Struthio camelus: one gene and its partners. The protein of the gene in region 3 interacts with the protein of the main gene of each other region in a biochemical or structural test. Links are inferred from orthologs where the notes say so. Each region holds a gene or a part of one and is shown on either strand. Other genes may lie near its edges.

Region 1 (10,024 bases), on a different chromosome or scaffold from region 3:
ACACAAGAATAAGATTAAGAGCACCTACCCTGGGTTAACAAATATGCACCATCCTGGAACAAAGTGCACAAAGATGCAAACCTGAACAGAGCTGTTGCCTAAAGTACAATTACTATTATTAACTTTCATTTCATATTTATTTGTTCTGTTATTTTAGGTGAAACAGAGAAATAAAATTTTCAAATTATTGCTATCGTTTACTGTACCTTTCTGTCTTGTTTACTTGTAGCAACTCCTACAGCACATGCCTGACAAAAGCACTTTACTGAATTGCAAGTATTTTGCGCTGCAGTGAGTTTTTTTTCTTTATGCTATAATATCATCACCTTTCTATGAAAAATAGGAAAAAGGTATCTCTTGAGAAAAGGAAGAGAATCAAAAACTTAAAGAATACGAATAAATCCTTTCTACTTACAGTTGTTAGTCTAATTCTTCCTGGCCATAGCTTGGTTCTCAATTCCCTTCCCCCACTGCTCCCAAAGTATAGATGACTAGACACTTGTTAACGAAATAAGAAGTTCCATGCTCATACGTGTATCACGATCACTGATCTCAGAAGAGTTCCACACACTTTCAATATTGTGGACAAAATCCCAGACTACATGATTGAGTGGTACGTTAGAAGAATGGAATGCAAAACGGGAAGAAGATACACATACAAATATCAAAAGTTTGATATATAGCAATATCCAAAACCTATAATTTTGTTACTAACTAAAAAAATCTCAGGTCATATATGCTGAAAGTGCAAAGCATCAAGTTGTCCTGTAGTTATATGCACCTATCTACGTACGCAGCTGCACGTTGTATTTATACCCATGCCCAAAGTTCCACGTTTCATCTGGCACAAAGCAGATCATACTGATTAAAGGGGAAGCTGAATCAAAACATAGCTGTTTTCACCAATTTTTGACACGCTCAAATAAAGCTGAGGCACCTTACCTAAATTAGTATTTACATGAAAGAGAACATTACCGACTGCTGTATCTAAAAAAAAAGGAAGTGATCTTCAATAAATCACTAGAGCAATCCTGAAATCAATTAAAATGCTTGGAACACCCTTGTATATATCAATCTTGAAAACAATGAAGCAGACTAAATGTAACATGCTGAACACAATTGGCATATTTTCCTCTTAACTATTTATTAGTAATGTTAAATATTGAAAGATGCTGAGAAATAGAGATGACCATCAAACTAAACAGCTTAAGCACCATTTGAGAAGCAACTGTTACACTGTTCATATGTATTCTGAAAAAAACTCTGAAAACTCTTTTTGGGGGGAAAAAAAGGCTTCTCTTCCGCGGCTGTAACACAATTTAACTTGCTGTGTTACAAATACAAACTCACCAGCAAGCAGGCCGGAATAAACCCATCCTCTGTACAGTGCTCTGCATATTCTTTCAAATCTGAGCTTTCCAAAATAAATTCACGGCAGGTAGCTAAAAGCTTTTCCTGTTGTAAATACCCTGCAATAAATCAGACAGAAGACTTTGCTATTTTATTCATTATTTCTGCATGTTGTGCTTGGTAGGTATTGAAGCATTAATACGACCAACTATATGATATAACGTTGGAACAATTAGATAAGGATTCATGCATTAGATAAGGAAACTGAAGTCATTATGAAAGAACACCTATCTTGCAACGTATTCCTTTAATAGTTAAAACCAGAAAGAGCACATATTATTAACATTGTACTGGATTTACAAACTGTTCAAGACTAGAAGTGAGACAATATGAACAATTTCTGACTGATCGTTAGTACACATAGCACTGTACAGACAAGAAAGAAAATATCAACTTCTTAAGTCAGGAATAAACTCACACATGGGTTTTGATTATAAACATCTAGTTTTATAAACAAATAGAATTCTATAGTACTGTATTAATAAAATGCATTGCTGTGCAGCAATAACTCTCCATAAATTCTCCAGCTTCAGAACAGGTAGAACATATGCATCGTTAAGACAGCGCATTAGATTTCTTCCAAAAATGACATTATATAAAAATTATTTTTACAAAATCAGTATTTTGTTTTTCTACTTACCGTAATTTTCATTTTTAATAGGTATTCTAGTGTACACTTGTACACTTTATATACCCTACCCCAAGACTCAGTAGTTATCTTACCAGGAACTATACTGAAAAAGTTCACTTTTTCAAAATCCCAGTCCTCAGTTAATATGCTCTTTTAAGGTATTTTAAATCCCGCTTTAATCTTCAAATAGTCTAAACGCTAAAAGGTAAAGCTAGATCAATCTGAGTAAAGGATTACAGAACAAAAGAGCCATAAAACAAAATATCGTGCCTTTTCTTTCTTATCTGTAGCAGAACTGCATACGCAATCGTTTAAAGAGTTAAAATACACATACCTAATCATATTCACACAGAACCCCAAAACAGCCTGCCTCAGTTCAGGAAAGTCCATAGAAAAATCCTGCCTTTAAGTTCACATGAAGACATAATATCTTTTATCAGATCCAAGCATAGCTAGAAAAAGTAGATCAGCTTTCACACTCACAGGCCTCCGACAAATAAACTTCAAAGTTAAACACAGTTTGAGAATAACTGCTGAGAGTTTCATTAGGATGTACGAGCTAGCCCATATGGGACAAAATGTAGTTGGCACCTGCGGAATAGAGAGGGCTGCCATATTTAATGTTTCAAATACATTTTGTTAGAAAATCCTCAAACCACAAATTGCTAGAAGCTGAGGGCACACTGGGGGAAATACACCTACATGCCAGTCTTATGCCTGTCTGCTGTACCATCCATTGCTGACCAGTATTACAGACAGGGCATTAAGCTAGATGGGAGTTCGACTGTAAGAACAGCCATACCAGCACAGATCAAACCCATCTTCTGGATCTTTGCTAAAAAACAGTTGCAATTTCTTTCTTGAGCCTCCTATTGCGAAGGATGACTGAATGCCAGCACACAGGCCTATTTGGCACATACATCAATTTCCTGCAGATAACGGCGACTGAACTTAAATTGTCTGTGCACGTACATTACAATAACAGAATCATATACAACCTTCAACATTACCAAAAACAAGTTAGAGGCACAAAAGGAAGAGTGCCTGCTGAACTAGAAAGTATTCAACATTTTGTTCTATCTTAATATATGTGAAGACCTATGGTCTACCTTACAGTACTCATTCACTCTTTACCTAGAAAACGATAAATTTGCTTATGCCTTTTTCTACAGGCAAGCTCATCTTACCATTTTAGTTCTGTTTCTTAAATCAATACTCATCAACACTCACAGCACCAAAAAGACTTTGCTAGAGAAAAACAAAAAAAAAAAAAGGAAGAGGAACTGCGCTAGGAAGCCTGTTGATCTGCTCAGAATTCAGATGCCTCAGAGAGGAGCAATCGCTATTAGAAGACAAAAATAACTGTTAAGAATATCCTGTTCTACAATCTTGGGTTGCTCAGAGATTTTCTAGGACTACTGCATGCACTACGCCACAACAGACGCAAGATAGGACGGAGCATCCTCAATACACGCGAAACGTTCAAAATTTTTATTCTATCTACAAGTCTCTACGCAGCACGTGAGATAAACTGTTTACTAAGAAACTTACAACTTAACCAAAATTTTATCGAAAAGTATAGCAAGTAAATGGCCAAAAAGAGATATCCCGCGCCAAATTGTAAGTGTTCTTTTACAATGCACAGAATTTGAAAAAAATCCTATTACTTTGCAATAATAAAAACAATGTTTCTGTTGTTACGCTCAGTTCTCGAAAAGCAACAACAAACGTTTCAGGTAGCGTTTAAAAATAAATAGAACTGCAGACAGACGAAAGAAAAGATTCAGCCTCACTGGTTTTTGACTGGCAAAATCTGCCCAGGCTGTCTGTGCACCTGAAAACAGCATCTTGCTATGAAAACTGCCAGGAAATCTTAGCGACCTGGACCAGTACCTGCTGACAGCGTACCTATTACATATAGGGGTCCTACTTCCAATCCACGGCCACTTGCTCTCATCTTTGGCTGTGACCAAACATTGCAAGCGTAAAGTCTTTTTAGCAGTTTATCCTCCCTGCTGTCAAGGTCCTGAAAACACTTGTTTTATGCTTCCCACGGACGCAGCGCGCACCACAGAAGGGAGTTCTCGATCTGACCTCGCGGCTCACGGAAACAGGGAAAGAAAAACCAGCTGAACCCTCACCTGTTCTCATCTGGCCTCTTGGACCACCGGGATTGGTGCTGAGAGCAGAGGCTCCCCCCAGTCTCGCCCACCAGCCCCCGCCCGCACAAGGAGGCGGCAGAGCCCACCGGCCTTCCCGGGAGTCACCTCAGCGCCGCTCCCGGGCGGCTCCCGACGCAGCACCCGCCCGAGCACAACGTGGCGCCTCCACCTGCCCCGCCGCTGCCTTCGCGGGGGCCGAAAGCCGCCGGCGAACCGGCCGCGCTCCCCGCTAAAAGCGGGGCCCAAGGCCGCCCGACCGCCCCGGGGCGGCCCAGGCACTGCGCCTCGCCGCGGACACGGGTGACATCCCCGGCGGCGGGCGGCCACGGCCCGGCGCCGGCCGAGGCTCAAGGGCGCAGCGGCTGCCTCCGCGCGCCTGCCGCCCCGAGCGCCCTGTCAGCGGCCGGCGGAGCCCCCTCCTCGCTTCTCCTCGCCTCTCCCCTCCCCTCGCCCTGCGCGGCCGCGGTCGCGGCCGCCTCCGCGGGCCCGGCGGTGCCCGCCCCGCCCGCGCGCACTCACCCAGCACCAGCCGGGCCACGTCGGACGGCAGCAGCATGACCCGCGGCGCGGAGGGGCAGGCGGCGCGGGCGCGGCGAACGCGGCCCCCCGAGGCGCGGCGCGGCCGCCCCGCCACCCAGGGCAAGGCGCGGAAACTCCGCCAGCCAGCGCCCCGCCCGGCCCCTTCCGCCGGAACCCGCCGCCGCGCATCCGCTTCCAGGTCCGCCGCTGCCGCCGCCCACACGTGCGCTGCGCTGCGCTCCTCTCCTCTCCTCTCCTCTCCTCTCCTCGCCCGCCGCCGCCGCCGCGAGGGGGGCGCGCGCCGCCGCCGGCCGTTAAGCCGCCGCCGCGCGCCCGCGCTGCGCTGCGCTCCCCTGACGCCGCTCAGAGGTGGGCCTGCTCCTGCCCGTCCGTGCCCTCCCGATGCCTGCCCCCGCCCCGGCTGAGGGGCTGCTCGAGGCGCGGTCCCCGCGCGGGTGCTGAGGGGCGGCCCGCGCGGCGGGTGGCGGGCGGCGGGGAGGCAGCGGGCGGCGGCGGCGGCCCGGCGCTCGCCTGGCGGCGGGCTGGGGTGGTCGGCTGTGGTTACCCGCGAGGTGGCGGTTGGGCCGCTGTAGCGTAGCTCGGTGAGGAGCGCTCGGTGCGTGTCTGCTGTTTTTAAAGGGCTCCTTCCTTGTCCCACTTGTCCCAGGTATTTTTTTTTTTTTTTGAAAGGGGATGAGTGCCGTCATGATTTGGTAGTTGGCGACTGGGCTGCAAAGAGAAACGGCAAGTGCGTACAGTGTTAGGAACTTGTCACTGTTGTTGTCATGGTAGTTAAAATACCTTTAAATGCCAGTAAAAGAAGACGCGGCCCTCTTTCTTCTTGAGCCCCAGTCCCTACAACATACAACCCCGTGTTGCCACAGTTCTCAGTCAACCCTTAATTTTTCATCCCATCAATGTTTTAGAAGCCTTTAGCATGTGAAATGTTGTTTCTTGCTTTCGGTTATTTTCGGCATAAGTAGCAAGTTAGTAGAGGAATGCTTCCTTGCTTAACTGAGCTTAGTTGTACGCCAGAGCAGGCCTTTCAAGCTTGCCATAGGTTCCTTTTCCTCAATACCTAACTAGCCACCATCCCTTTCTGGTCATGTTTACTCAGCTCCATTTCCGTGTTGACTGTCTCCATCCATCTTAGCTGCTAGCTGCCACTACTACATGGTGGTGCCTTAACGTTGTGTTTCACGGTTGTCTTGAGTTCTCAGTTCTGGTCACCTTTAAGACACAGATTTACAAGGAAGAGAACAGGAAGGTGGGCACATGAATATGTGACAGGAAAAAGGCCATTCAAGTCGTGATGTTCCCATAAATCCTAGCACTGTGATAAGATGGAAAGATGATCTTAGGGGATTAAAGACAGAGGTTCGAACTCTTCTAGAGGAACAAGAGCTCTCAATATTCAGAGTTTTATGCACAGGACTATCTGTCAAGTTTGACCTTTTGTCAAAGAACGTGCTCAGTATTTTTTTTTCCTGTGATGCGCTGTATAGATGGCATAAACGTCAAACATTTGAAATCTGCTGTTTTGTTTTTGCTTTGGGAAGGGTATATGTCAGGGACCCCTGCCCCTGGTTATTCCACAGATTGGTCAACTCTTCTGTCCTTTTTCTCCTCACCTCGGTTTTTAATGCGGTCAAAGTAATCACGTGGATTATAAAGCAGTCAAAATAATTTGCTATTAAAATGTGGTTTCCAGACATATATGAAGAAACCCATTTGTCTCAGCGTGATCTCTGTTGAATCCAAAGAAGATGAAAGCAAGATGATGTTTGTATAAGACGGTAGATCTTTAAAGTTTTAACTGCCTTATTCAGCTAAATGGTTATTTATATATTCTTACTTAAGTGTTCCGGGGCCAGTGATGTGCATCATGTATGCCAGTTCTCAGCTTCATACTGCAGCTTCAGCAGCATATGCTTGGTGTTACTTCCAGCATGTCCATCTCTGTTTTTCAGATAAGAGTTTGTCCTGAGGCTAGTTTAAGGGAAAGGGTACAAGGAGAAGCATGGACGCTGCATACAATTTCATTGTCATGATCTGCGTCAACATAATTTTCTGGAAACCAGAAATGTAAGGTTGATCTGATTCGGACGTATGTTAAAAGAGGTAGGGCATAATCTTAAGTAGTAATAGAAGCAAAAAAGTATTTTTCTCCTGTCGTTGATATTTGAGCATCTTGTGGTATTTGGAGTCCAGAGGCATTTGTAAATATAATGGTGCATAGCTGTATAATAGAGAAGGTTAGAGTGGAAGAAAGTTTTATTTTCAAAGAGCTGCCTTTTCCTCATCAGGTTAAAAGTGCTTCTGATAACTGCTATGTCCTGAAAGTTAGTGCTGTTTGCCTGATTAAAATGACATAGAGCCGAGTGTGTTCTCATTACCGTTCATGTTTCAGTCTGTATTGTCTCATCGACTCTCTGCTCTTTCATTAGCCTTAAAAAGAAGGAAGTCAGTCATGTGAAAGGACCCTTTTCTGTTTTTGTCCACAACTACTGCTCTTCGGAATAGATTGCATTCTTGACATGACACTTTCTACTTCTGTCTTGTGAGCAATAGCACCAACCCAGAGAGGAATGAGCTTTTGAGTGAAGTAAAGCTGTTGTATTTGACATGGAAATGCAATATATTGAAAATTCAAAATTTTGAACTGATTGACTTGGCTCTGTGTTAAATAAAATAATTTATTTCATCCTTTTTTTCTGTTTGCAGATGCAAATGACTGTCCTGTTAAACTGAACCATGAGTCTTGTGTTACATGATCTGCTCGTTTGTTGCCGTCACCTTGAGAATGATAAAGCTACAGAGCGAAGGGTAATAAGGTTTCTTCTGGTATATATCATTCTCAATGAAGGGAATGATTAATAACCTTTTTTTTCCTGAAATACATTTTCAGAAAGAAATTGAAAATTTCAAGCGACTGCTCCGTGATTCTGAAACAGTTCTCCAACTGGACCGGAATTCTGATTCTAAACAAGCAAAGCAACTCAGCTGGGATGCTGTATTTGGGTAGGTTCTTTTACTGTCCAGAGCAAAGCATTTTTCTTCTTTTTTTTTTTTTTTTGGTGAAAGGTCATGTTTCTTGCATGGAACATCACTATTTTGTTTATCAGGCTTATTTAAATGCTTATCTTCCTGCGGATTGATTGAGGCTTCTTGTCAGTCAAGAAATGACTTATGTTACTCTCTAAAAGAAATAAATCTAAAATAGCCAAATAATGCATCAATCATCTGAGTACAACACTTTCCACTTACAGAAGATGCAGGGGCACACAGCACGTTGTAAATGTACAAACACTAGAACCGTCTCCTGAGAAACTGATTGTTAATAGGTGGTTAGCTTTTCTTGCAAAAATAATAGTTACTTTCTGTTACTGAAAAATATCCTCTGCATCTGACTTTCAATTTATAGTTCATATGTCGATTTTAAGTATCTCATTTAAAATTTTTCTGTAACTGAATTCTTCAAGACACAGCAGAAGGACTGTGCCTTATAAGCTAAAGAGGTCATGCTGTGAGGTTTGTAGAGGCCCATCTTTGATATAATTGCTTTAGGTGTACTACAAGATTGGACTGAGTGGGAGCGGGATAAGTTTTTAGAGCAGTTGGGCCCACTGCAGTTTTCATATTAAAGTGTGTCTGAAGTATTAGTTTTTACAGATTGGCATCTGGGCAGATTTACAGAATATTTTTTAATTGGATGGCATTTGAATGGGTCTTGTTTTACACCTGTAGCAAAATACTGTAAGAACTTTTCAGTAAATTTCTTATGTTGCTTTTGAGATGGCCAGACTCTAAACTGAATACAAATAACAAGCCAGAAAATCTACAGAAATTGCAACAAAGCCAGTAAAACGTTTAATCTATTTGTATTACATATTAACTTTAAATGATAGAGAATTGTTATTGTAATAAATGGATAATACCTTCTCCACACTGCTGGAAGGTTTGTATTTTTTCAGGAAGTGCATATCTATTAAGTCCAAAAATATTCAGTTAAAACATCCAGTCGACTGTAAGTGAGCTTAAAAGCAGAAGGACTTCAAGGTTTTCCCCAATACAGCCAGTAAAAAGTATTTCTTACTATTTTGTGCTATAAGTCGCAGCATAAATAACGATATTGTTTTTTTCGTTATCATGGATTGTATGTTTAGCATTATGCAAAGTATGTAGGAATATTCAGTTCTTATCCGAGTTCCTTCTGGATCATCTCAGCTCCTTTTATAAACTATTCCTATCATGGTTACGCTGTAATGTATTTTGGTGTTTAACAGAGCTTTAGAATCAGAATTGCTAAATGAGCAAGCACTTGAATTCTAAGTGCAAACAATGTTTACTTATTTTACTTAGGTCAAAAACGTGCAGATTCTTGATTAATGTCTCTGGTGTTTTTTTTGAAGAGTCCTGCAGAAATATTTCCAGAAAGAGATGGAAAGCTTCAGACTGACAAAACCAAATGTATCTGTTTCAACGCAAACTTCCAGACAGAAAAAGATGCAAGAGATTGGCAGTTTGGTCAAATACTTCATCAGACGTGCTAATAAAAGTCAGTAATACATGTCCATGTAGAATCACTGATTCTTTTATTTGGTGCTTTACTTTCAACTGTGAATTTTTGCTCTGAAGCAAGTTGTCAGGGTGGGGTTCATCTTGCCCACTCTCAGTTGTTTACAAATTAAATATCTTTATTTGCATTAGTTCTTTGTATGACTTACCTTGTTGATGTTGACAATGCCTTTTTAATTATTTGCTTTGCCTATAACTGGTGTATCCTTTCTCTTCTTGTAAGTAATTTTGTTTTTAGAGACAGTTTGTTTAAAAATATGATCTCCAGCAAAACTGTTTCTGAACTGCATTTTTTTTTTAATAGTGAATATGGAAATGATCATTTTGCAAGCAATTAATTCCGGGTTTGTTATGCAAGCTTTGGATTAATTGCAATGCTCACTTTGTTTCTTTACATAGGAGGACCCAGACTGAAGTGTCAGGAACTTCTGAATTATGTCTTGAAAATCATGAGAGATGCAACAAGTTGTGCAGCTTACGGAGCTGACTGTAGTAGTATACTCCTAAAGGATATCCTTTCAGTAAGGAGATACTGGTGTGAGATATCCCAGCAGCAGTGGTCAGGTAACATTTTTAAGCCTACTTACGAGTGTCTTTTCCTATTATGAAAGTATGTTTAGATGGGTTTTAGTTGTCTGATGCTATTACTGCAAAGCCCTGTTGCGTGAGGTACTACACATTGTATGAGGTACGAGACAAAACACATGAAGAAAGGTAGGGTCAG
Region 2 (10,976 bases), on a different chromosome or scaffold from region 3:
AGCTTAGGGTTCCTCTGCCCAACATCTCCAGACCTATTAGCAAGATGTTGATGTCTCCTCGGATGCGGCTCCCATTCTCTAGGACTTTCTCCACTCCTCCAAGCAGCATACAGAGAAGGGCCTTCTTGATGTATTCATGTCCATGGATACTGGGAGCCAGAGATCTCGCCAGCTGGTCAAAGATGTCCTAAGGCAGAAGAGGCAAAGCATAGCCCGTAAGATAGACGGCAGCAAACAAGAACAAGGAGTAATACTTTACAACTCTATCTGAGCACACCCATGCAAGAAAGGAGTTTATTGCTACCACAGAACCACAGCAGTGAAAGTTATTTATACAGCAGAAGACATTTGTTGGAGTTTTCTTTCAATCATCCTGGCCACGGTTCTGATGCCCTACATCACAATAACCCCAGCAACCACTGGAAGCAGCAAACCCTTTAAGTGCAGGGCACCATCCTCTCCGAGATACAAAGCAAAGGCTAGATCATAGGATCAGACTGGGGTACGCTCCTTTTCCCTTCTTAGCCCAAGACTTGTGATTTTGCTACGTTTTCTTTCAGAGCATCAGTGATCCACACTGTGCTATCACTCTGTTCTTAGTTTTGAGGAAGAAGAGAGGAAGATATTTCTTCTATAGACTATTTCTCTGGCAACCGGCTAGCAGATTCAGGAAACACAGATTTCCATCTTCACAACTGCACACAACAAAGCTGCCAACAATCAGGAAGCTCTACTAGTATTACAGAAGCAGCAAAACCAAGTCAAAATAAACAAAAAGAACCCTCCCAGAACCTGATAGAACTGTGAATGAAATGCAAAGAAAGTAAGTGGAAGATCCAGCAACATTGCTAAGAGGGGGGAAGAGTTTACTCAAAGCCCGTTCAAGAACAAGACAGCTCCTTAACCACGTGCCAAGCTTTAAAACCGCTACAGTTGAAACCTCATGTTTGGACACAAGCCTACCTAGAAGACATATTCGTAAGTAACATTTAAATACCTTGGAGCGACTCTTGCTGAATCTCTTGATCTTGGCCACATCAGCAGCAGAGTAGAGAGGCCGAATATCTTTGCTCATCTGCTTCACGTGACAGGCAATGAGGATAGTCCTGGAGAAGAAACACAGCCATGGTCAGGTGTGCAAACCCCAGAGGCCTACAGGTCACAACAACAATGCAATAGAAACTTCCACAGGGTGATTTGCTCTAGAAAGTCCTCACGGAGGGCTGGAAAGCTCCAAGAGCTATAACCCTCCTCTGTCTTTGTCTAACTGGACTACTCAGGCAACGCAGCATCTTTAAGAGTGTCCAACCCACTCCACACACAGCTGGACTTTACAATTCAATAGTGATGCTAAGGAACCAGTAGCAAACCCAGCTCTGTGATGGCTACCTACTTGCCCTACCTCACCCGCCAAAGACATGACCCTACTGAAAAGTGTGAACAGCCTGGAGTTGTCCTTCAGGCCAGAAGGAGACTCACCTGAATGTCCCTGAAGTATAACCCCCTTTCTTTCCTGGCAGGCAGCGGTATGTCCCAACCACCTGGATGCGGTCCCCAGGTTTCACTTTGTCCACTAGGTCGTCATCTAGAATGACATCCACCGAGCGTGGCAGCTGCCCTGCTGGTGCCTTCTCAGGCATCTCCTGGATGGTGATGGTTTGATGATCCTTGTAGACTGAGAGGCCAAACTCTGTCTCCAAGGGGTTATTCTCTTCATCCTAGAGGAGGAACGAAAAGAATAAGACTAGCATCACTTTTTAGGAGCGCTGGAAAGATGGGTGAGCTGAGTGGCGAGAAGACAGGCTGCACCATCCAAAACACGTAAGACCACTGAAAATGGTTGCTTAATAAAGACTGCCGGAGCCTGGGGTTCACCAGCTCCACAGCCTCCTTATCTAACTCTTAGCACCCAGGAGTGTTGGTACACTCTCTCTCTCCAAGCCCTGTAGCTAATGTAGGCAGCAATAACACCACCCATGCAGAAAACAGTACGTGCACTGAGGTCACAGCTCAGGTCAACATTCTTGCACTCCCAAATACAGACCAGTCATTCTGCCCAAGGATGCATATATCCTCCAGGAGAAGACAGATCTGCCCATACTAACCCAGGTACCAAAAGCAAGAAAACTGGCTGAAAACCCTTAAGAAAACCAGCTAAGCATCTTATAGCAGAAGCAAGATCATAACTAACATCTGAGCTTCTCAAACGAAAGCTGGTCTGGTGATTGTGTGACTAACAGAGACTTCGTTTTAAATGTTCCTAGTAGCTCTCGGGCTTTGCCACATCACACACTCTTTTCTCTATTCCATGGACTATGTAGGCAGAGGAAAAAGAGATCCACAGGGATCTGAGACCCTCAGCTCACAAACAGCGTATTCTCCCCAGAGGGACTTGCTGACACTTCTCACTAGACCACTTCACCTTTGTAGGGTACACAGAGCTGGACGGGAAAGCATCTAGAGATGTCATGTCCGTATAGCGACGCTCAATAGTTTTCTTAGTAGCTGGGCAATAATGGACACTCCGGACAATCTTTGGACGAACCAGAGAACCTGAGTTTGGAAGAAAAGAGAAAAGAGCTAGGGCCAACAAAACCCCCTCTATATTCAGCCAGCAATCCCCCATGCAATTTCCACTCAGAACTGCACTTGGGACATCTGTTGATAGACAGGGTCTGCTACGTGCCAGAATTTGCCAAATTCGTTACATCAAAGGCCATCTCAACATTCAGAACTTGTATCTAGTCCCGTATTCCCCCTTATGCATGTTGCCAAGATGCACCTCAGCTCCTGGATGAGCTACAGCCCCTCCACAACAAAAACCTCAAACCACTGCTCTTCAGCATAGCTATACCTCAGGTATCCCATTCTTCCCCCACCACACATCCACACTCACATTTAGTCACGATGCCCTCCACACAGACGACACAGCTAAGGAAACAGGCAGTCAGCGTCCGGGGCGACACGTGCTTGGAACCAAAGCTGCCCTCGAGCCCAATGTAAAAGTCCTCATATTGCTTGGCATAGGTGGCGTCAACAGAGGCAACAAAATCCTTCAGAGCACGCTGGAAGGCGATCAGCTCCTCAAAGGCATTGCTCAAAAGCCTGAAACAGGGGGAGGTGATGATGTCGTCAGCTCAGTAGCAAGGACCAGGCATTATTAGCGTGCTGCCTTCCTCCATCAGTACATTTGGGAAAATGTGCAAAGCTTTTCCAGGCCTCCACACACTCTGAAAGCTTACTAGAAAGCTGAGGCAAAAAAAGACAAAGCTCATCACCTCTGCTGGTCAGCTCAGCTCCCACCAACAGCCAGGGACTGTAGGAGCAGAACTGTCCAACCATATCTGCAAAACCTCACATGTCCCTGAACGGATTTGAAAGCCTGGTCCAAAATGGTACTAGCATCCTAAAAGGAGACGCTTCATACCATGCAAAAAACCCCAACTTGCTGCAAATACTAGAACTAATAGTTTTTACCAAATCAAGGGTTTGCTAGCTTTGGAAGGCATGAACATCAAGGCCCATCTTTACAAGGGAACCAGCATTCTTGTGGTCCACAGGACAAGGTCCGGCCCTTCCTTGCAAACAAGACGTACAGAAAACGGGTTAAACTTCTATATCTGCGTGGTGCCAGTGATGCACCCCACCATCCCACTCAACACCCATCCAAGCTTATCAGAGGCTCCCCTAACCGGTTAGCTCTCTTCTCGTTCTTCCTCCGCAGGTCGTTGATGTTGACAAGGAGGCGGTACTGGTTGTCACTGATCATATCGCGGACTTTGCTGTGGTAAATCCCTTGATCTTCCTGCAGAAGAAATACCCATTTTACATGAGCAGGTGTTACAAACACAGTCCTAAGGAGACAATTTCTGCAAAGCATCTCTTGCTGGCAGCCTTTTAAAGAAGCTGACCCCAATGTCAAAGCAGCTTATCATAAGAAACGGGTCCCATTAGGGCACTTTCAATTTTTCCCACATATTGCAAAGCACCCTCCTTTCCCAAGGACTTCACCGCTGTCTCACATTCTTGTATTTAAAGATCATCCTCATCAGATTTGGGTTGTCCGAGATAGCGCTGAGTTTGCATTTAATCTAAACACAGATACGCCTGCTTTAGTCCATCTGAATGGGCTGACCCAGGCTGCTCAGCAGACCCACACCTGGGCCGTACCAGCACACTCGGGCAGCATACGCACTCACTGCTGGCTCTTCTTCACATCTAAAGGGAAAAGCAGCCCTGCACCTTGCCAAGCTCCCAGGAGCGGGACCCCCAAGTTCAGCCTGCAGCAAGGCAAGGAGCCAGGCTGGAAGAGCCCCCGAGGCCGGCTGCTGCCTGCCCCTGAGCTGCAGCTGCTGGATCCCATAACTGGACTGCGGGGGGGGGGGGGGGGGGGGGAGGATGGAGGGGTGCAGGCGGTCCCCCACCCCAGGGGCAAGGAGGGAAATGCCCCAGAGCACCCCCCCCGCAACACCCCAACGCAGCCCCACTCCCGGCCTCACCTCATCGTCTAGGAAATCCAGGTAGTCGCGCTGCGCCTCTCGCAGCTCTGCATCCTCCAGCGCGCCCGCCGGGGCCGCCATGCTCCCCGCTGCACCGGGAGGCCGGGCGGGCCGCCGGGCTCCCGACGGCGCCGCGGTGGGGTAGGGTGGAGGGGGACGCACAAACCGCGCCGGGTAAGGGCCGGGGCCGCAGACCTCGCTCCGCCGCTGCCACCCGGTGCCGATCGCGCCCGACCACGCTCCGCCCTTGGCGCCAAATCCGACGCGTTTTCCCGCCACCGCAGGGCTACAGCGCGGGGAAGCGGGGGGGGGGGGGGTGTTCCGCTTCCTTCCCACCGCCGCTCCTCATTGGGCGGCGCGGCCTGACGTCGCGGAGCCTCCTGCCAATGTGAGGGGGGCAGGAATTCGCGGGAGCTGACGCGCCACAGCGCCAGCCAATCAGCGCGCGGATGGGGAGATGGGCGAGGGGGGATTTCGCGCGCTTGCGGGAGGCGCGCTGCCAGGGGCTGGAAGCCGCCGGCGGGTTGAGAACCACGGGAGGTTTGTTGTTTTGTTTTTGCTTTTTTTAATTTCTAACTTTTTTCACTTTTTATTTTTCTTTCAGATTTTGAGGAGACCCGTTTTCGGGTGTCTTCTCCCCGAAGCATGTGGGGAGTGGGCGTTTCTTTTTCCTTTGAGACGGCAGATTAAATTCTTCTTTGCTGACGTGAGTCCAGGAATTGGGGGCTTGAGATTAAAAAAAAAAAAAAAAACAACACAGATACTGCGCATTTTGCAGAGAAATGGCGAGCTTTACGCATGTTTTTGAGAGATGTTGCAGGCAGGAATCACAGAAAAAGGGGGACAGTTGCACCTCTTAAGTGTCACGTATATAAAAACTCGCTGATACCCCGCTAAAAATATTATTTTGTACACCTTAAAAATAATATCTAAACTCTGATACTCCGATCATTAAAAATCGTTTACGGATTAAAAAGCAGAAACGTTCTCTTTTATTCAGCAAGGCATGCAAACTTGCCTGTGTCCCCTAGATAGTGCTATAACTGAAAACAGTTGTAGTTGGGCGGATAATAAATACTCTCTCAGGATTGTGTTTAGCTGTGTAAAATGCTGCCTCAAATATTCCTCCTGCTTGATGTCACTAGAGGGAGCAGCTTCAGTTCACGAGCTTGCAAAGTCCCTGGAACAAAGGCGCAGGAAACAATAGCTACCCTGTTTCCCCTTTACCATTTATGTCTCTAGATCCTCTCCCTCTAAACGCGTTGGAAATGTGGTTAGTAACTATCGTGAGTGGTTCAGGGTATATGTAACCCGAGTCCTTGAGGAGTTTCGCCCCACAGATTTTTCAGGTAATTCCACATCAAAGTGCAACTTCAGCTCTTCTAAAGTTTTTGGGCCCAGTCCTCCTCTGGAATAACGACAGAGTATTGAATGTGGCAGGCTGGCAGGAGTAAAGGATTTAGTGCTCTGTTACACTCTTCCCCTCCCCCCCAGGCTATTTTATTACCTCCTGAGCTGCACACTGCACCTGGAATGGCCTTCCTGCTGCTGTGTGCCGCCACAGCACCCATTTTCCTTCAGACTCCCCTCAAATCCATCTCTTTCCGTGATTTTCTGGACAATTTTTGGTTTTATTTCCACTGACTTCCGTGGGGATGGCAGGAGGATGAGGCCTTTTGGTGTGCCCGTACTTGTACCACAGAGACTTTCTGGCCTGGTAAAAGAGCCTCAGAAAGCCCCTGGCAGTGCAAGATAGAGCACCTTTGGGGCTGATCTAAGCTCTACTGGGGACCAGAGTCATCTGAGCACTATCAGAAGAGATAGAAAGATACTTATTCTGCTTTCCATAAGGCAACATAATACAATACAATAAGCACTACAAACATTTCGGGTAACGTATTGTGTGTATTTATCAACCCCTGCCATGAAAGGAAGAACGCGAGAAGCGCGTGCCCTGGGTATTAGGAAGAATGATATATAAGTGGCCAGGTCAGCTGTAATTGTATAAAGTGCCTGGAGGAATCATCTGTATAAGTCCCTAAATGAAATATAATATGTTCTGTATATGTTACCAGAACCTGACATGAAATAATCTTCTCTGAAACAGTTTTTCTCACTCTGCAACAGACAGTCCCTTGAATCCATCAGTGAATGCAGCCGACTTGCTTTATCACAGGTAAAAAGATTGATGGAGGCGAAGGGATTTGTTGAGTTGAAGGGCAGTTCCTCAGGCACCTGTGGATCTGGTTGCAAAGCAACCCATGAATCCAGCTGAAAGCTAGTGCTTTTATATGTGCCAGAGTCACCAGGGTGGGATTCATCTCCAGAGTCAGATACCCATATCCAGACAGTATGGTGATCTCACCTATGTTTAGGTGTCTTATTCTCAAAACGAATCCTAGCTCCCAGCAGGGGAGGAGGATGGGGTCCTCTGCTCTGGAGTCGCGCTCGCTGGACCCGGAGCAAGGTAAGGGAGCGCTGCTTGCCCTCCACTGCCACCAGCGCGTGCAGAGCAGTGCTCGGCCCACACTTCTACACCCTGCTCTGCCCCAGCTTGTGGGATCGGTTTGGACCCCCAGGACTAACATTTTGACACCCTCTTCCCAGGCCAGCTAGAGCTGAAAGGGAGTCAGCAGGAACCGTCGTCGCTCCTGACCTCAAAGTAACAAGAGTTAGGGCTAAAAATAACTGCCTGTTGTTATTCATGACAGTGCCCTATAGCAGCTGCTCTGGTGCTTGTGTGAATAATTAATTGGAACAGGTCAGGCCGGAGAGAACAAAGGGATGAAGAGAGATGGAGACTGCAGCAGAAACCGAGCTGTGGCAGAAGCTTCTCTGCCTCTGTCCTGGGGCAGAGGAAGCAGCATGACGCTCTCAGCGTAGAGTCTACAGCTGTCCTATATCATGTAAGCACTGCAGTGGCCCTTGCCTATCCCAGAGTCTTGGAGCACGCTGCACCAAATAACGAAGGCTCACAAAAGGCCTTCAGGATGGGTACACTGTCTCTGTCTCACCCCGAGGCTATGGGCTTGTGAGCAAGGGGCTTTGGTGACGATCCTGGAATGGCCATCCCTGCTAGCCTCCTCCAGGGTTGTCTCCACTCTCATGAGAGACAGTGATACCCCAGCGTGCTACACAGGGAGGCTGTGAGTGGGCCAGTTCTCCGGGCCGGCTCACGACGTGGCGAAAAAACCACACTACCACATGGAGTGGGGAGGAGACCTTCCACCTTTAGCTCATGTTATTAGCAAAGACTTTCTCGGATAAAACCAAGTGGAGGAGAACCACACAAAACACACATCTGCCAGGGGTCACTTTCAGCCAAGACAGCCAAACAGGGCTTCTTAATTTTGCACCGGCTAATTCTATAGCTATCAGGAAATTCCAGATTTACCATAGATAACATTAAAAATAAACAAGCATTTTGAGAAGAATTAAAATGAACAACAAAACCAAGTGCTCGTTGCTGGGGCTTGTGCAAATCCCTACCTTTTAGTACTCCCTAGGAGACTTTCTAAGGACAGATCACCAGGCAATTCTCTCTCATATGTCCTGTCACACTTCAGCTGTTATTAGGAAGAGTGAAGCACAGATCCATAATGATATTTAGGCACCTATTATCCACTGAAAACAATGGGAATTAAGCACTTAAATACATAGAAGGTCTGGGCTGCAGAGCTCAGATCTTAGCAAGGCTTTCATTAATTCTTTAATCAATTAACGAAACCCTGAAAGAATCAAGAGTGGGTGTAGGAATAAATTCCATGGATGAATGACACACAAGCGGTGTTGACCAGAATATCTTAACTGTTCCTATTTACAGCTTGGTAGAAATGGGCATTGATAGCAGTTACATCTGCCTGTCAGGCAGTGACCAGCAGTGGAATTTTTGCCTGCTCTGCTCTGTTCTTGAGCCTTTACGGATAATGTGAAGGGGTAACGTGTTCTTGGCAGGGAAAGTGGAGATGCAATAGCATAACATTGCAAAGCTGCAAACCTGCTTCCAGGCAGAAATCCAGCCAGGCTAGTACAGGCAGAAAATCAGGCCGATCATAATCAGTGAGGAACAAATAGGGTGTGCAGCTCCCAGGAATCACAGAATGGTTGAGGTTGGCAAGGACCTCTGGAGATCATCTAGTCCAGCCCCCCTGCTCAAGCAGGGTCCTCTAGAGCACATTGCCCAGGATCATGTCCAGGCGGGTTTTGAATATCTCCGGGGAAGGAGACTCCACTACCTCTCTGGGCAACCTGTTCCAGTGCTCAGTCACCCTCACAGGAAAGTTGTTTTTCTTCATGTTCAGACGGAACTTCCTGTGGTTCAGTTTGTGCCTGTTGCCTCTCGTCCTATCGCTGGGCAGCACGGAGAAGAGACTGGCCCCATCCTCTTGACACCCTCCCTTCAGATGCTTATACACATTGATGAGATTCCCCCCTGAGCCTTCTCTGCTCCAGGCTAAACAGGCCCAGCTCCCTCAGCCTTTCTTCAGAGGAGAGATGCTCCAGTCCCCTGATCATCTTTGTAGGCCTCCACTGGACTCTCTCCAGGAGTGCCGTGTCTCTCTTGTCCTGGGGAGCCCAGCACTGGACACAGTACTCCGGGTGAGGCCTCCCCAGGGCTGAGGAGAGGGGCAGGATCACCTCCCTCCACCTGCTGGCAACGCTCTGCCTAATGCACCCCAGGATACCGTGGGCCTTCTTGGCCACAAGGGCACACTGCTGGCTCATGGTGAACTTGTCCACCAGGACACCCAGGTCCTTCTCTGCAGAGCTGCTTTCCAGTAGGTCAGCCCCCAGCCTGTCCAGGTGCATGGGGTTATTCCTCCCCAGGTGCAGGACCCTGCACATCTTTGTTGGTCTTCATGAGGTTCCTCTCTGCCCATCTCTCCAGCCTGTCCAGGTCCCTCTGAATGGCAGCACAGCCCTCTGGTGTGTCAGCCCCTCCTCCCAGTTTTGTATCATCAAAGCACACTTGCTGAGGGTGCACTCAATCCCTTCATTCAGGTCACTGATGAATAAGCTGAGCAGGATTGGACCGAGTATTGACCCCTGGGGGACACTGCTAGCTACAGGCTTCCAATTAGACTTTATGCCACTGACCACAACCCTCTGAGCTCTGCCATCCAGCCAGCTCTCAATCCATCTCACTGTCTGCTCCTCTAGCCCACGCTTTGTCAGCTTGCCTACGAAGAACTAACGTTGACATTTTCAACGAGGCTTTGCAGTGGGCTGAAATAAGATTGGGAGATGGAGGTACCACGGAGGAGAGAGCCAGAGGAGCACCTGAGTTCCCACCAGCCAGGTCATGAACGTAGGCGCAGAGCTGCTCCGCACTGGCTAGCAAACTTTCCTGCTTCTCCAAGGACTGCCGAGCAGGAGGAAGGCCTTGCTGAGATTGCATGGGGTAGGGAGCCAGCTCTCCTGCAAAATGCACCAGGCTGGCCACATCCGACTGTAATAGCAATGACTTTGATCACTACCTACTGGATTTTTTTTTTCCTCAGACCTCTGCGAATGCTTGAATCCCATGGTGTGAGATTTCTTTATATTGCTGTGCATAGATGTCCCCATGTACACTAGGTTTCTGATACCGCTTTATTGATAGTCTTTATTTATTTCCTGTTCCACTGGAGAGATCTCTGCTTTTTCACACGCACATACCCTGTGATCTCTCCGTGGCTCTATTTTGCCCTTAGTTTAAATGAAAGTTAATTTTCAAGCCAGTCAAGTTACTATCTATTAGCTTCCCGTTATACCGAGCAACCTTATCTAGCCCATGAAAGGGAAAGGAGTGCAGGAGTAAGCTGCGCAGTTAAGTGGCTTGTGGTTCACCCACAGCTCCAAAAATGAGGAAAGCATATTCCAGATAGAAGAGAGGGTCACTTTGTCATTAAGCGGCACATTTGGGTTAAGATTTCTGTGATGCTTCAAAAATATTTAGAATAAAGTGGAAGTGTAATAAAATGTATTGAACGTATTGAATAGAAACAAAAAATCTGCTTCTTTTTAATAGAAACAATGTGGGAAATGAGATGATCTGTGAAATGTTTTTGTCCGTTTAAATCTTTGCTTTCCAAGGAGTAAAAAAGGGTTTGTCCGTTCCGTGTTCTCATCTAGCTGTCCTTGCAGTAGCTGACCTCAAACCGTGGAATTTGCTCTTGCAAGAGGAAAGAGTGATCCTGACTCTCACCGCTTCAGGGCCAAATGTGGAAGAAATAATTTAATACCGGAGGAATCCTTCTTAATCCTCTCATCTGACCTTTTACATAGCATAGGCTGGATAATTTCACCCGATCGCATCTGCACCAAACTCAGGCATTTCTGACGTAATTTTCTTTAAGTATTTGCCATTCCCATGCACTCTGGTAAATCTTTAAACTGATCTAGCTTTTTTTTTTTTTCTTCTTAATGTGTGGGAAGAAAAACAAGGAAAACAACCATCAGTGCTTATGAACAGAATGTATTTACTTTAAATGCATG
Region 3 (10,275 bases):
CCCGGCCTGTGCCGCCCCCCGGGGGCTCCCCGGCCCCCCACACCCCGTCCCAGCCCCTCGGCCTCTCCGTGTTGCAGATCAAGATCACCCACAAGAACCAGACGCCGATGCTCATGGCCGCGCCGCCCCGCTCCTCCAGCTTCTTCGGCCTCAAGAAGGGGCCTGTCGAGGCCTGACGGGGCCCGTGCCGGGGCGAGAGCCCCCCCTCTGCGTGCTGCGCCCCGGGCAGCGGACGATGGACCAACCCCCCGTGCGCGTCCCAGGAAAGGGCAGGTGATGAGCCATCCCCCCTGGGCACCCACGGGTGTTTGGAGCCCGCTGGGTGCTCTGGGGTGGGGGGACAGCTGGACGACCCCCCCACCCGTGGGTGCTTGCGGCGGGGGGTGCACAGTGCCTGTAGCCCTCCCCGCGCATGCCACGTTGGCCGGAGCCCCTGCCCCTGCGGGGCCCCCCCTGCCCTATTTATTACCCCCTCCTTTCCCTGGTTTTCAAGTGCCTCTTGCAGTAATAAAGCCTGGTGTTGAGACGGGTGCTGGACTGTGCCGCTCGACCCCCCCGGCCCCGAGCACCGCCCCTACGCACACACAACCACACGGAGGCACCGGGTGAGCTGAGCCTTTAATGAGGGCGGCAGCGAGGCCAGGGCGTGCTCGGCTCCCGGGGACGCGGCGGCGGGCGGGCGCCGCGGGCCCTACACGGCGTTGGCGCGGAGCAGGGGGCTGCTCTCGCCGCTGGGCGCCCTGCCGAAGGCCTGGCGCAGCAGCAGGCGCAGGGCAGAGCCGGGGGGCAGCCAGCCCCGGGGCCGGGGGGCCGGGGCGGCCGGCACCTGCAGCGGGCCGTACTTCACGCGTCTGCGGGGCAGAGAGACGGCGAGCGGGTCAGGGCGGCCGGCGCCGGCCCCGAGCGGCGCCGGCCCCTGCGCGCGGGGCGCCGCGGGCTCACCTGTACGTGTAGGCGGCGGTGGCCAGGGCGGCGGCGATGAGCCCCAGCCCCAGCACCAGCGTGGTCCTGCCGGCAGCCGGAGCAGCACCTGCGGGACGCGGAGGGGCAGAGGCGGCTCAGCGCCGCGGGGGGTCCCGGCCCCGCCGCCCCCGAGGGGGCACGGGGACCCTCGCCCCCCCGGCCCTGCTCCCACCTCCGACGGCGACGCGGGTGCTGGCCACGGCCAGGCTGTTGCCGTTGGCCAGGGACACGTTGAGGCAGTAGAGGCCGGACTGGTTGAAGTCCTGGCGCAGGACGAGCTGGCAGCCGGGGGCCGGCTCCACGGCGCTGCACGTCCGCTGCTGCGCCGTCTGGCACTCGGCGTCCAAGACGACGGTGCAGACCTCCTCGGGCAGGCTGCCGGGCGGGCGTCAGCGCGGGCCCGGGGGTCCCGGCCCTCCCCCCCCAGCCCGGGGCACGGTCCCCTCGCTGTCCCCCGCCCCAGCTGGCGGTCCCCGCGCGGCCCTCACCTCCCCTCGCACGTCACCGTGAGCTCCACGCTGTTCTCGCTGCCCTCCGGCAGCACGGACGCGACGACGGCGACGTTCTCGATCCCCTCTGCAAGGGGCCGCGGGGTCAGAGCGGCGCCAGCGCCCGGTCCCCCCTGGTCCCCCCCCAGCCCCCCTGGCCCGGCGCTCACCCACGATGTCGAGCTGGGTGGAGAAGGTGCCGTAGCGGTACAGGACGCAGCTGGTCGGCTCGGCGCCTGGCGCCTGCCGCTTCACCAGCGCCAGCGGCTCCGCGGCGCTTTCGGGGGCAGAGGTGGAGGCTGCGAGTCCAGCTGTGGCTCCTGCTGTGGGTACAGCTGTGGCGCCAGCTGTGGTACCCGCTGGAGGTGCAACGCTGGCTCCAGCTGTGGCTCCAGCTGTGGCACCCACTGGGGGTGCAACAGTGGCTCCAGCTGTGGCTCCAGCTGTGGCACCCACTGGGGGTGCAACTGTGGCTCCAGCTGTGGCTCCAGCTGTGGCATCCATTAGGGATGCAACAGTGGCTCCAGCTGTGGCTCCAGCTGTCGCAGCATCTGCAGGGGAACCAGAGAGAAGAGGCTGGAGAAAGGCAGGGAGGGACGGAGCCAAACCCTCGGCGACCCCGAGGACGTGGCCAGTCACATGCTGCCCCGAAGGGGCCGGTCTCCCCCCGCGGTCCCTGCCCGGCAAAGCTGCGGGACCCGGGCCTGGACGCAGCCCGCAGCGGGACGGGGCGGCGGGGTCCCACCGCGGCTCCCTCCCTCCGGCGTCGGAGCAGGGCACCCACCTGCAGCCAGGGCTGCCGCCGCGCTGGCAGCGGGTCCTGCCGTGGGGGACGAGGTGTCCGCCGCGTCCCCGGCCGGGGAGGCCGAGGCGGGCAGCAGGGGGTCCGCAGACGCCGCGGCGGAGACGGCAGCGGGCTCCGCGCCGGCTCCTTCACCGGGCAGGGACGTGGCCGCCGGGGTGCTGAGCGCCAGCAGGCTGAGCCGCGTGCCGGAGGGGTCCGAGGGCTGCGCCGAGGCGGTGGCTGCTGGCGGCAGAGCGAGAGCGGAGGGGTCGCGGGGTGCCCGTGGGGCGCCCGGGGACCGGGGACGCCCCTTCGCCCGCTTACCGGTGCTGGGCGCCGCGGCGGTGCTGGGCGCGGGGCCGGCGCTGGTGGCGGTGGGCCGCGCCGAGGGCGGCGGCGGCCCCGTGGTGGGGTCCACGAGGGGCGGCGCGGAGCTGCCGCAGGGGCTCAGCGGGATGGCGGCCTGCAGCACCAGGCGCGGGGCGAAGGAGCCGGCCTCCAGGTAGGTGTGGGTGACGGTGGCGCTGCGGGAGATGAGGGTGCCGCTCCCGTCCCCGAAGTCCCAGGAGTAGGAGACGTCGGCGTCGCGCAGGTAGCCGCTGGGGTCGTGCAGCCGCACGGCGAAGGCCACGGCGCGGTTGCGCACGAAGCGCCCGGCGCCGCCGGCCGCCCCCTGCACCTGCGCCACGTCCACGGCCAAGGGCACCTGGTCTGCGCGGGGGACACGGCGCCGTCAGCGCGCCCGCCGCCCCCCCGGTGCCCCCCGCCCGCCGCCCCGGCTCCTACCCGTGACGCTGAAGCGGGTGCTGGCGCGGCCGAGGGGGATGAACTTCTGGCGGCCGCGGTAGTGGTAGACCACCACGTCCATGGTGTAGGAGCCGAGGGGCACGCCGGCCGTGCCCACCGTCAGCCGCGACGCCGGGCCGTCCACCACCTGCCAGTACCGCCCTGCGGGGGAGCGGCGTCAGCCCCGGCACCGGGGGCTCCGGGGGGCCCGGCGGCACCGGCGCCGGCGGTCTCACCCCACGTCCACCACACGTAGACGAATCTCCCGCGCTCGCCCCGGGCGCTGCGGGGAAAGGGCTGCCCGTCGGGGAAGACGCCGTCCGAGCCCTCGGGCAGCTGCTCCGGGAAGACGGGTTGGCCGCGGGCCACGCGGGTGCCTGCGGGGAGGCGCGGGGTGAGCGCGGCGGCGGCGGCGGGGGGCGCAGCGGGGCGCCCGCACCGGCCGGCGCTCACCGTTGACGGTGCCGTCGCGGCTCCAGACGACGCGGCCGTCGGGCAGCGCCGCCTGGCCGCCGGGGAAGCGGAGGGCGATGGAGAAGGTGGCCTTGGCGCCCGCCATGGTGGGCGCGTCGCTGCTGATGTCGAAGGTGACGTTGCCGCCTGCGGAGGGGCGCGAGGCCGGGGCTCAGCGACGGGCGCCGCCGGCCCCGACCCCCCCCCGCCCCGGCCCCGGCCCCCACCTCGCCAGCAGTCCCTCTGCCAGGGGGCCCCATCCTGCCAGGGCGGGTAGAGCCCCGCGTCCCAGCTGCGGAAAGGCGCCGGCGCCTGGCTCCACGTCTGGCTCCGCCGGCTGCTGCCGGGGCTCCGGCCGCCGGCTCCTGGGGGACAGAGGGGTGACGGGGCTCCCCGGCGGCCCCGGGCGCGCGGCCCTCGCGCCGGCCAGACGCCGCGTGATGGGCTGGGGCCAGGCCGCGCGCGGCGCCGGGGGGCCGAGCCCGTCACATGGCGCCGCGCGCTGCCCAAGCCCTTTCATGTGACTCTCAGCTGAGCCGGCGGCGGCTCCGGGCCCGGCGGGGTGGTGAGCCCCCCCCTCGCCGCGGGTGCCCCCGCTGTCCCCCGGCTCGCAGGGGCGCCCCGGCCATGCCGCCCGTCGCGGGCAGCGCGGGGTCCCCGCGACGCGCCCCGGCCCCGCTCGCACCCCCCCGCGGTGCCCAGCCCGGGCATCAGCAGGGGCTAATCCTGCTCCCCTCCCTTGGGCAGGGGGCCGGGGCCCACCAGCAGCCCTGTTAACTCCCCGCCGCCCCCCTGGCCACCCTGGGGAGCCCGGCAGGCCCCATCGCCGCCCGGGACCGTCCTGGCCACGGCCGCCCGGTGTGGGACTCTGGGTGCCACCGGGACCCCGCACCCATGGGCGAGCGGCCGCCCCGCTCGCGGCTCCCCCGGCCCCACTTACGGCGCTGAGCTGCGGCCAGGGCCAGCAGGGCCCCCAGCAGCGCGATCGCCCCCTGCACCCGCATGCTCCGGCCGTCGTCGCCTCCCGCGCTCGGGCACTGCCAGGGCAGAGAGGCGAAGGCGCCGGCGCCGGGGGGATAAGAAGGGGCTCTCGTTTGCATAGTCCCACCCCGCGGGGCCCGGCCCCCCCGCAGCGCCCAGCTGCCCTTGTGCGCGTGGGGCGCGCGTGCGGCCCCCCCGCCCCCGGCCGGCCGGTCACACGCTCCTTCCACGCACCGCAGCCCCCTCGGGGGGTCTGCTGCCGGGTCTGGTCCCGGCTGCTCCCCTCCGCGGGCCCTTTGCACCCGCGCAGGTGTCCGGCCGGGGCAGGGCGCCCGCTCGGCTCGCCGGGAACCGGGCTGGAGCCCGGCACCCCGGGGCCTCGGCTGCGGTCACGCAGCGCCGCGCGGCCGGCCGGGGCGGCCACCTGGCCCGCTCTCCGCTCCCTGCAGGCCGCTGCCCCGCGTGGGCGCGCCGGACTCCTCCCGCGGTTTCCAGCCCCTTCCCCTGCGCCCAAATCGCTGGCGACGCCACCGCTGCCCCCGAGAGCGGGGCTCCGCGCTCAGAGCCCGCCGCGGCCGCCCTGGCGCCCAGCTCGAGCCGGGCCCTCCTCCTCGGTGACACCGCTGCCGGCTCCGTCCCCTGCCAGGTGGCTGGCCGGGCCGGAGGGGAGGTGGCAGCATCGCCCCGGCCGCGGCCGGGGACCCTGCGCTGGGCGCACCTGGGGACGGGGACCCCAGCCCCGGCCATGGGTGACCTTCGCCAGCACCCAGCACGACCCCGTCCCCAGGCCACGGGGGAACCGCGGTTAGAGGAGCACGGCCCTGGCCCCGGGCTGTGGGGGTCCCCGGGCTGTGGGGGTCCCTGGGCTGATCCCGCCCTGACTGCGTCCCCGGGCCGTGGGGGACCCCGGGCTGTGGGGGTCCCTGGGCTGATCCCGCCCTGACTGCATCCCCGGGCTGTGGGGGACCCCGGGCTGATCCCGCCCTGACTGCATCCCCGGGCTGTGGGGGACCCCGGGCTGTGGGGGTCCCTGGGCTGTGGGGGTCCCTTGGCTGATCCCACCCCAACTGCGTCCCCGGCCCGTGGGGGTCCCCGGGCTGTGGGGGTCCCTCGCCAGATCCCACCCCAACTGCGTCCCCGGGCTGTGGGGGTCCCCGGCCAGAGCCCAGCATGTCCCTGTCCCAGGAGGACACCCCCCCCCAGGACAAGCCGGGTCGGCTCGGGAAGCAGCTGGTCCGGGGGGGCTCGGCCCGGCCTCCCCCCCCCCCCGGAAAGGTCCCCGCGTCAGCGGCCTCGGGGCGGGCCTGTCCCTTTAAGGGATCTCCCGCGTCGCCCGGCGCGTCGGCGGCAGCCCCGGCCAATGGGGCGGCGCGGGGGGCGGGGCCGGCGGAAGGCGGGAAGCGGCGGGCGGGCGGCGGCCGCGGCAACATTGTAGCGCGCGGGGGGAAGCGGCGGCCGCGAACGTTCCATCCGCCCCGCGCGCCGGCCCCGGCCCCGGGACCCCCCGCCCCCCCCGACCGGCCCCCCGGCCCCCGGGACCCCCTGCACCCCCCCCGCCCTCCCCCCGGCCCCGGGACTCCCCGACCGGCCCCCCGGCACCGGCCCCCCCGGCACCGGCCCCCGGGACCCCCTGCACGCCCCGGACGGCCCCCCCCCCGGCACCGGCCTCGGTGACCCCCTGCACCCCCCCTGCCCCCCTCGGGACCGGGACACCCTGCCCCCCCGGCACTGGCCCCCGGGACCCCCTGTACCCTCCCTCTGCTCCCCCCCGGGATTGGCCCCCCCACCTCCCCCCGGGACCGGCCCCCCCCCGCATCCCCTGGGACTGGCCCCCAGGACCCTCTGCACCCCCCTCCGGAACCTCCCCGGGACCCCCTGCACCCCCCCACCCGGGACCGGCCCCCAGGACACCCTGCACCCTCTCGGCACCAGCCCCCGGGACCCCTGCATCCCCCCCGGGAGTGAGCGCCAGGACCCCCTGCACCAGCCTCCCGCCGGTGCCGGGCCCGGCCCCCACCCGCCGCCCCATGGAGAACTTCCAGAAGGTGGAAAAGATCGGCGAGGGCACCTACGGCGTCGTCTACAAGGCCCGGAACAAGGTCACGGGCGAGGTGGTGGCGCTCAAGAAGATCCGCCTGGACACGTGAGGCAGCCCCGCGCGGCGGGCCGGGGCGCGGGAGGGGCCGCGGCGCCCCCGGGCAGCCCGGCCCGGCGGCTCGAGGGGCCCGAGGCGGCGGCCCAGCCCGCTGAGCCCGGCCCCGGTGGCTTCACCCGCAGGGAGACCGAGGGCGTCCCCAGCACGGCCATCCGCGAGATCTCCCTGCTCAAGGAGCTCAACCACCCCAACATCGTCAAGTAAGCGGGGCGGCGGGGGGCCCGGGCGCCTGGCGGAGCCGCCCCGGCCGCGCTCGCAGCCGGCCCTCGCCTCTTCGGCCGGCCGGTTCGGGGGCCGGCCGCGGGAGCGGAGCGCCCCGCTGCCTGGCCGCGGCGCCGGGCCCAGGCCTGCACCCCGCTCGCTTCCAGGCTGCTCGACGTGATCCACACGGAGAACAAGCTCTACCTGGTCTTCGAGTTCCTGCACCAGGACCTGAAGAAGTTCATGGACTCGTCCTCCATCAGCGGCATCGCCCTGCCCCTGATCAAGGTAGGGCCGCGGCGGGCGGCGGGCTGGCTCCCGGCGGCCCCGCGCCCACCGCCCGCCCTCCGCCCGCAGAGCTACCTGTTCCAGCTGCTGCAGGGCCTGGCCTTCTGCCACTCCCACCGCGTCCTGCACCGCGACCTCAAGCCCCAGAACCTGCTCATCAACGCCGAGGGAGCCATCAAGCTGGCCGACTTCGGCCTGGCCCGCGCCTTCGGGGTGCCCGTGCGGACGTACACGCACGAGGTGAGCGCCCCGAGCACGTGCCCGGCCTGCCGGCTTCCCCGCACGGCGGCGGGAGCGACGGCTTGGGCCGGCCCGGCAGGGCGGAGGAGCCAGCGCCCGTTCGCCCCTTTCGGCAGGTGGTGACCCTCTGGTACCGGGCCCCCGAAATCCTGCTGGGCTGCAAGTACTACTCGACGGCCGTGGACATCTGGAGCCTGGGCTGCATCTTTGCCGAGATGGTGAGCGGCCCCCCGGGGCGCCCCTGCGCGGGGAGAGGCGCCGAGCGCGGCCCGGCCTGGCTCCCAACGCTCCGCAGCGGCGCCGGTCCCTGTCCCCTCGCGTCCAAAGGCGCCCGGCGCCCTGGGGACGAGGCACGGGTGCGCCCGGCGCCCTGGGGACGAGGCACGGCCTCGCCGGGCCGGTTCTGCGCGGCCGCACGCCCGGGGCCGGCAGCCCTTGGCGTCACCGCGGCGCGGGGAGCCGGCTGACGGACACCGGCGAAGAAAAGGGGCTTTGTGGGCTCCCGGGCCCCGGAGGAAGGGGCCGCGCTGGCCGGGGCGAGCGGGGCCGTCATGTGAGCCCCGCCGCCCGGGCTGGGCATCACGCGGCCGGGCAGGGACACGTCCCCGGGGCCGGCACCCTGCCCGGGGCCAGGGCCTGCGTCACGAGGGGCCGGCGCGGGAGCTCACGCGGCGCCGCGTCATGAGGGGCTGTTTGATCTCTGGCCGAGGGTTTGCCCCTGTCGGGCAGCCTGGCCCTGTCTGGCACCCACCAACGCGTGCTGGTGGGGGGAGCTTTGGTTGGAAAGGGCAAGGCGTCCCGGGGCGGAGACCTGCCAGTGCGGCGCCCGCCGGCTCTCGCCCCGTCACTGGGCGCTTTGGGGAAGCCAGGCGGCTCCGTAACGCCCGCGGGCCCGGCCAGCCCCTGCCTCGCGTTGGGGTCAACCCGGCCCGGCCCGGCGCGGGTGCTGGGGCGACGGCACCGGCCGCAGCCCCAGTGGAGCCCGGCTCTCCACGGCTCTGCCCTCTCGCCCAGATCACCAGGCGAGCCCTGTTCCCCGGAGACTCGGAGATCGACCAGCTCTTCCGCATCTTCCGGACGCTGGGCACCCCGGACGAGGCCATGTGGCCGGGCGTCACCTCCATGCCCGACTACAAGCCCAGCTTCCCCAAGTGGGCCCGGCAGGACTTCAGCAAAGTGGTGCCGCCGCTGGACGAGGAGGGGCGGAAGCTGCTGGCAGTGAGTGAGGGACGCGGCGGGTTGGGGGGGGGGGGGGAGCAGGGTCCCGCGGCTCCCGCGTCCCCGGCCGCCCCCTCACCGCCCCCTTCTTCTCCCCAGCAAATGCTGCACTACGACCCCAACAAGCGGATCTCGGCCAAGTCGGCGCTGGGTCACCCCTTCTTCCGCGACGTCACCCGGGCTGTCCCCCACCTGCGCTTGTGACGCAGCCTGGCCCCAGGGCTGCCGCCCCTCCTGCTTGCACTTAGCCCTCCGGGCTCTGCCGGCGCCGAGCCGGAGCCCTCGGGACAGGACCGGGCAGCCTCCCGCTGCCCAGGCAGCGCCCGGAGAGCGGGGGCCGCCTTCCCTGCCCGCGCGCACGCCCCCCCGGCCCCCCGCCGCGGAGGCGAGATGCTGGGAAGCACCTCCGGCCCCGGGGGCAGCGCCGCCGAGGCCCCAGCCCGGGGCTCAGGGACCCTCTTTCCCCTCCGCAACCGCCCTCCGGCCCCGAGCGGGGTCCGAGCCCCCGGGGAGCGGAGCAGGTCCCCGCGTGGGGCCACCGGCGTGCAGCTCTGCCGCTTGCAGGCGGGCGCGATCCTGCCCGGGCCGGGCCTGCTCCGCTCTGGCCCCACGGAGGCCCCCGTCTCCCCTCCCCTGGACTTCAGGCACTTACAGCCCTTCCCCGGGAGACGTTTCGGGCTGCGGAGCTGCGACCTTGGGGACCCCGTCCCGGCTCGGGGCTGCGCATCGCGCCAGGCTCTCGCAGAGGCGAGGCGGGTTCAACCCAACTCCCTCCCCGATGTATTTATTTCCCTGGAAGCAGCCGGATCTGTCCAGGGCTGCTCGCACCCAGCCCTGGGGACGATGGGGACCGTGCGGGCAGCCCGGGCCAGGGCAGCTCCTGCCACTGCCCTGCTCCCAGCCCCGGCCTGGCGGGGAGGGCTGCGACCAGGTCCCGGGCAGGGAAACCAGCCCCAGCTCCCTCGGCGCGAGGGGAGAGGCCTTTGCCCGCGTTCGCCTTCGTCCCCCGGGCGCAGGGGGTCGAGGGAGGCAGCGTCTTCGTCCCCAGCGTGTCCTGGCTTCCTCCTCCTCCTCGGCCGCTGTCTCGAAGGCCGGCCGCTCCTCGTCTTAGCGGGGCTGTCCCGGCTCTCAAGGCTCCTCGGGCAGCACCGGGAGCCCCGCGGCCGGGCGCGCTTTCCCCCTCCGAACGCTGGAAACCGCCAGAGGAGGTGGAGGCCTGGGCGGGGGTCGCTACCAGCTCGCTGCCTGCTGCAATATTTGGGAACATGAAGATTCAGATGTATTTTTGGACTGGAGCGAATAGGTATTTATGAGGCTGTGGTAGCAGAGTTCTTTTGTAGAGCGTTTCTTAGAGAAGCACCTTGGAGCGTTTTGTAACAGAATCCCTTTACAGCCGTCTCCGAACCCGCCCTGCCGGGGTATTTTTGTCGCTGACTTTTGTAACTTCCCGGCTGTGATTTCTTACCAAATGTTAAAAATATTTGTGTAACTCCTTTAAAAACCATTAAATATTCCTAGTTCGTTGCCGGGTGGTGGCTGTGCGGCGGCGGTGGGGCTGCGGCTGGCGCCAGGGGCTGCCGTTGGCCTACGCGCGCCGTGAGCCCCTGCATTCACCCCTTGTACGTGCACATATATATTCACACGGCACAAACCCTTGCCCTGCACCTTCCCCTATAGACGTGGCCATAGGCACCCTGTGTGTGTGGCTCCCCCCCCCA

The links. The genes of interacting proteins can lie anywhere in the genome.
Region 1: of the proteins of CDK2 (region 3) and NPAT, one has a biochemical effect on the other in vitro, tested with the Homo sapiens proteins (2 studies listed by BioGRID, with this or other methods). The link is inferred for Struthio camelus from reciprocal best matches to the Homo sapiens genes CDK2 and NPAT.
Region 2: the proteins of CDK2 (region 3) and MCM3 form a complex in vitro, tested with the Homo sapiens proteins (2 studies listed by BioGRID and IntAct, with this or other methods). The link is inferred for Struthio camelus from reciprocal best matches to the Homo sapiens genes CDK2 and MCM3.

What each region holds. Positions count from the first base shown.
Region 1 is NC_090942.1:205,613,931-205,623,954, reverse strand, and holds the start of NPAT (protein NPAT), read right to left. Parts: upstream 4,890-10,024; 5' UTR 4,760-4,889; coding exon 4,723-4,759; intron 1,470-4,722; coding exon 1,351-1,469; intron 1-1,350. Other genes in the region: serine-protein kinase ATM, read left to right, coding at 7,477-7,548, 7,631-7,743, 9,135-9,280, 9,700-9,864. UniProt on the Homo sapiens protein: Required for progression through the G1 and S phases of the cell cycle and for S phase entry. Activates transcription of the histone H2A, histone H2B, histone H3 and histone H4 genes in conjunction with MIZF.
Region 2 is NC_090944.1:11,535,467-11,546,442, reverse strand, and holds the start of MCM3 (DNA replication licensing factor MCM3), read right to left. Parts: upstream 4,890-10,976; 5' UTR 4,581-4,889; coding exon 4,500-4,580; intron 3,806-4,499; coding exon 3,693-3,805; intron 3,106-3,692; coding exon 2,897-3,105; intron 2,554-2,896; coding exon 2,423-2,553; intron 1,719-2,422; coding exon 1,480-1,718; intron 1,107-1,479; coding exon 998-1,106; intron 188-997; coding exon 34-187; intron 1-33. UniProt on the Homo sapiens protein: Acts as a component of the MCM2-7 complex (MCM complex) which is the replicative helicase essential for 'once per cell cycle' DNA replication initiation and elongation in eukaryotic cells.
Region 3 is NC_090969.1:688,827-699,101, reverse strand, and holds CDK2 (cyclin-dependent kinase 2), read left to right. Parts: upstream 1-6,333; 5' UTR 6,334-6,482; coding exon 6,483-6,598; intron 6,599-6,732; coding exon 6,733-6,810; intron 6,811-6,978; coding exon 6,979-7,099; intron 7,100-7,168; coding exon 7,169-7,339; intron 7,340-7,455; coding exon 7,456-7,557; intron 7,558-8,353; coding exon 8,354-8,557; intron 8,558-8,656; coding exon 8,657-8,761; 3' UTR 8,762-10,081; downstream 10,082-10,275. Other genes in the region: DGKA (diacylglycerol kinase alpha), read left to right, coding at 78-176; melanocyte protein PMEL, read right to left, coding at 692-851, 943-1,030, 1,136-1,338, 1,452-1,539, 1,622-2,002, 2,236-2,946, 3,022-3,183, 3,258-3,398 and 3 more. UniProt on the Homo sapiens protein: Serine/threonine-protein kinase involved in the control of the cell cycle; essential for meiosis, but dispensable for mitosis. Phosphorylates CABLES1, CTNNB1, CDK2AP2, ERCC6, NBN, USP37, p53/TP53, NPM1, CDK7, RB1, BRCA2, MYC, NPAT, EZH2.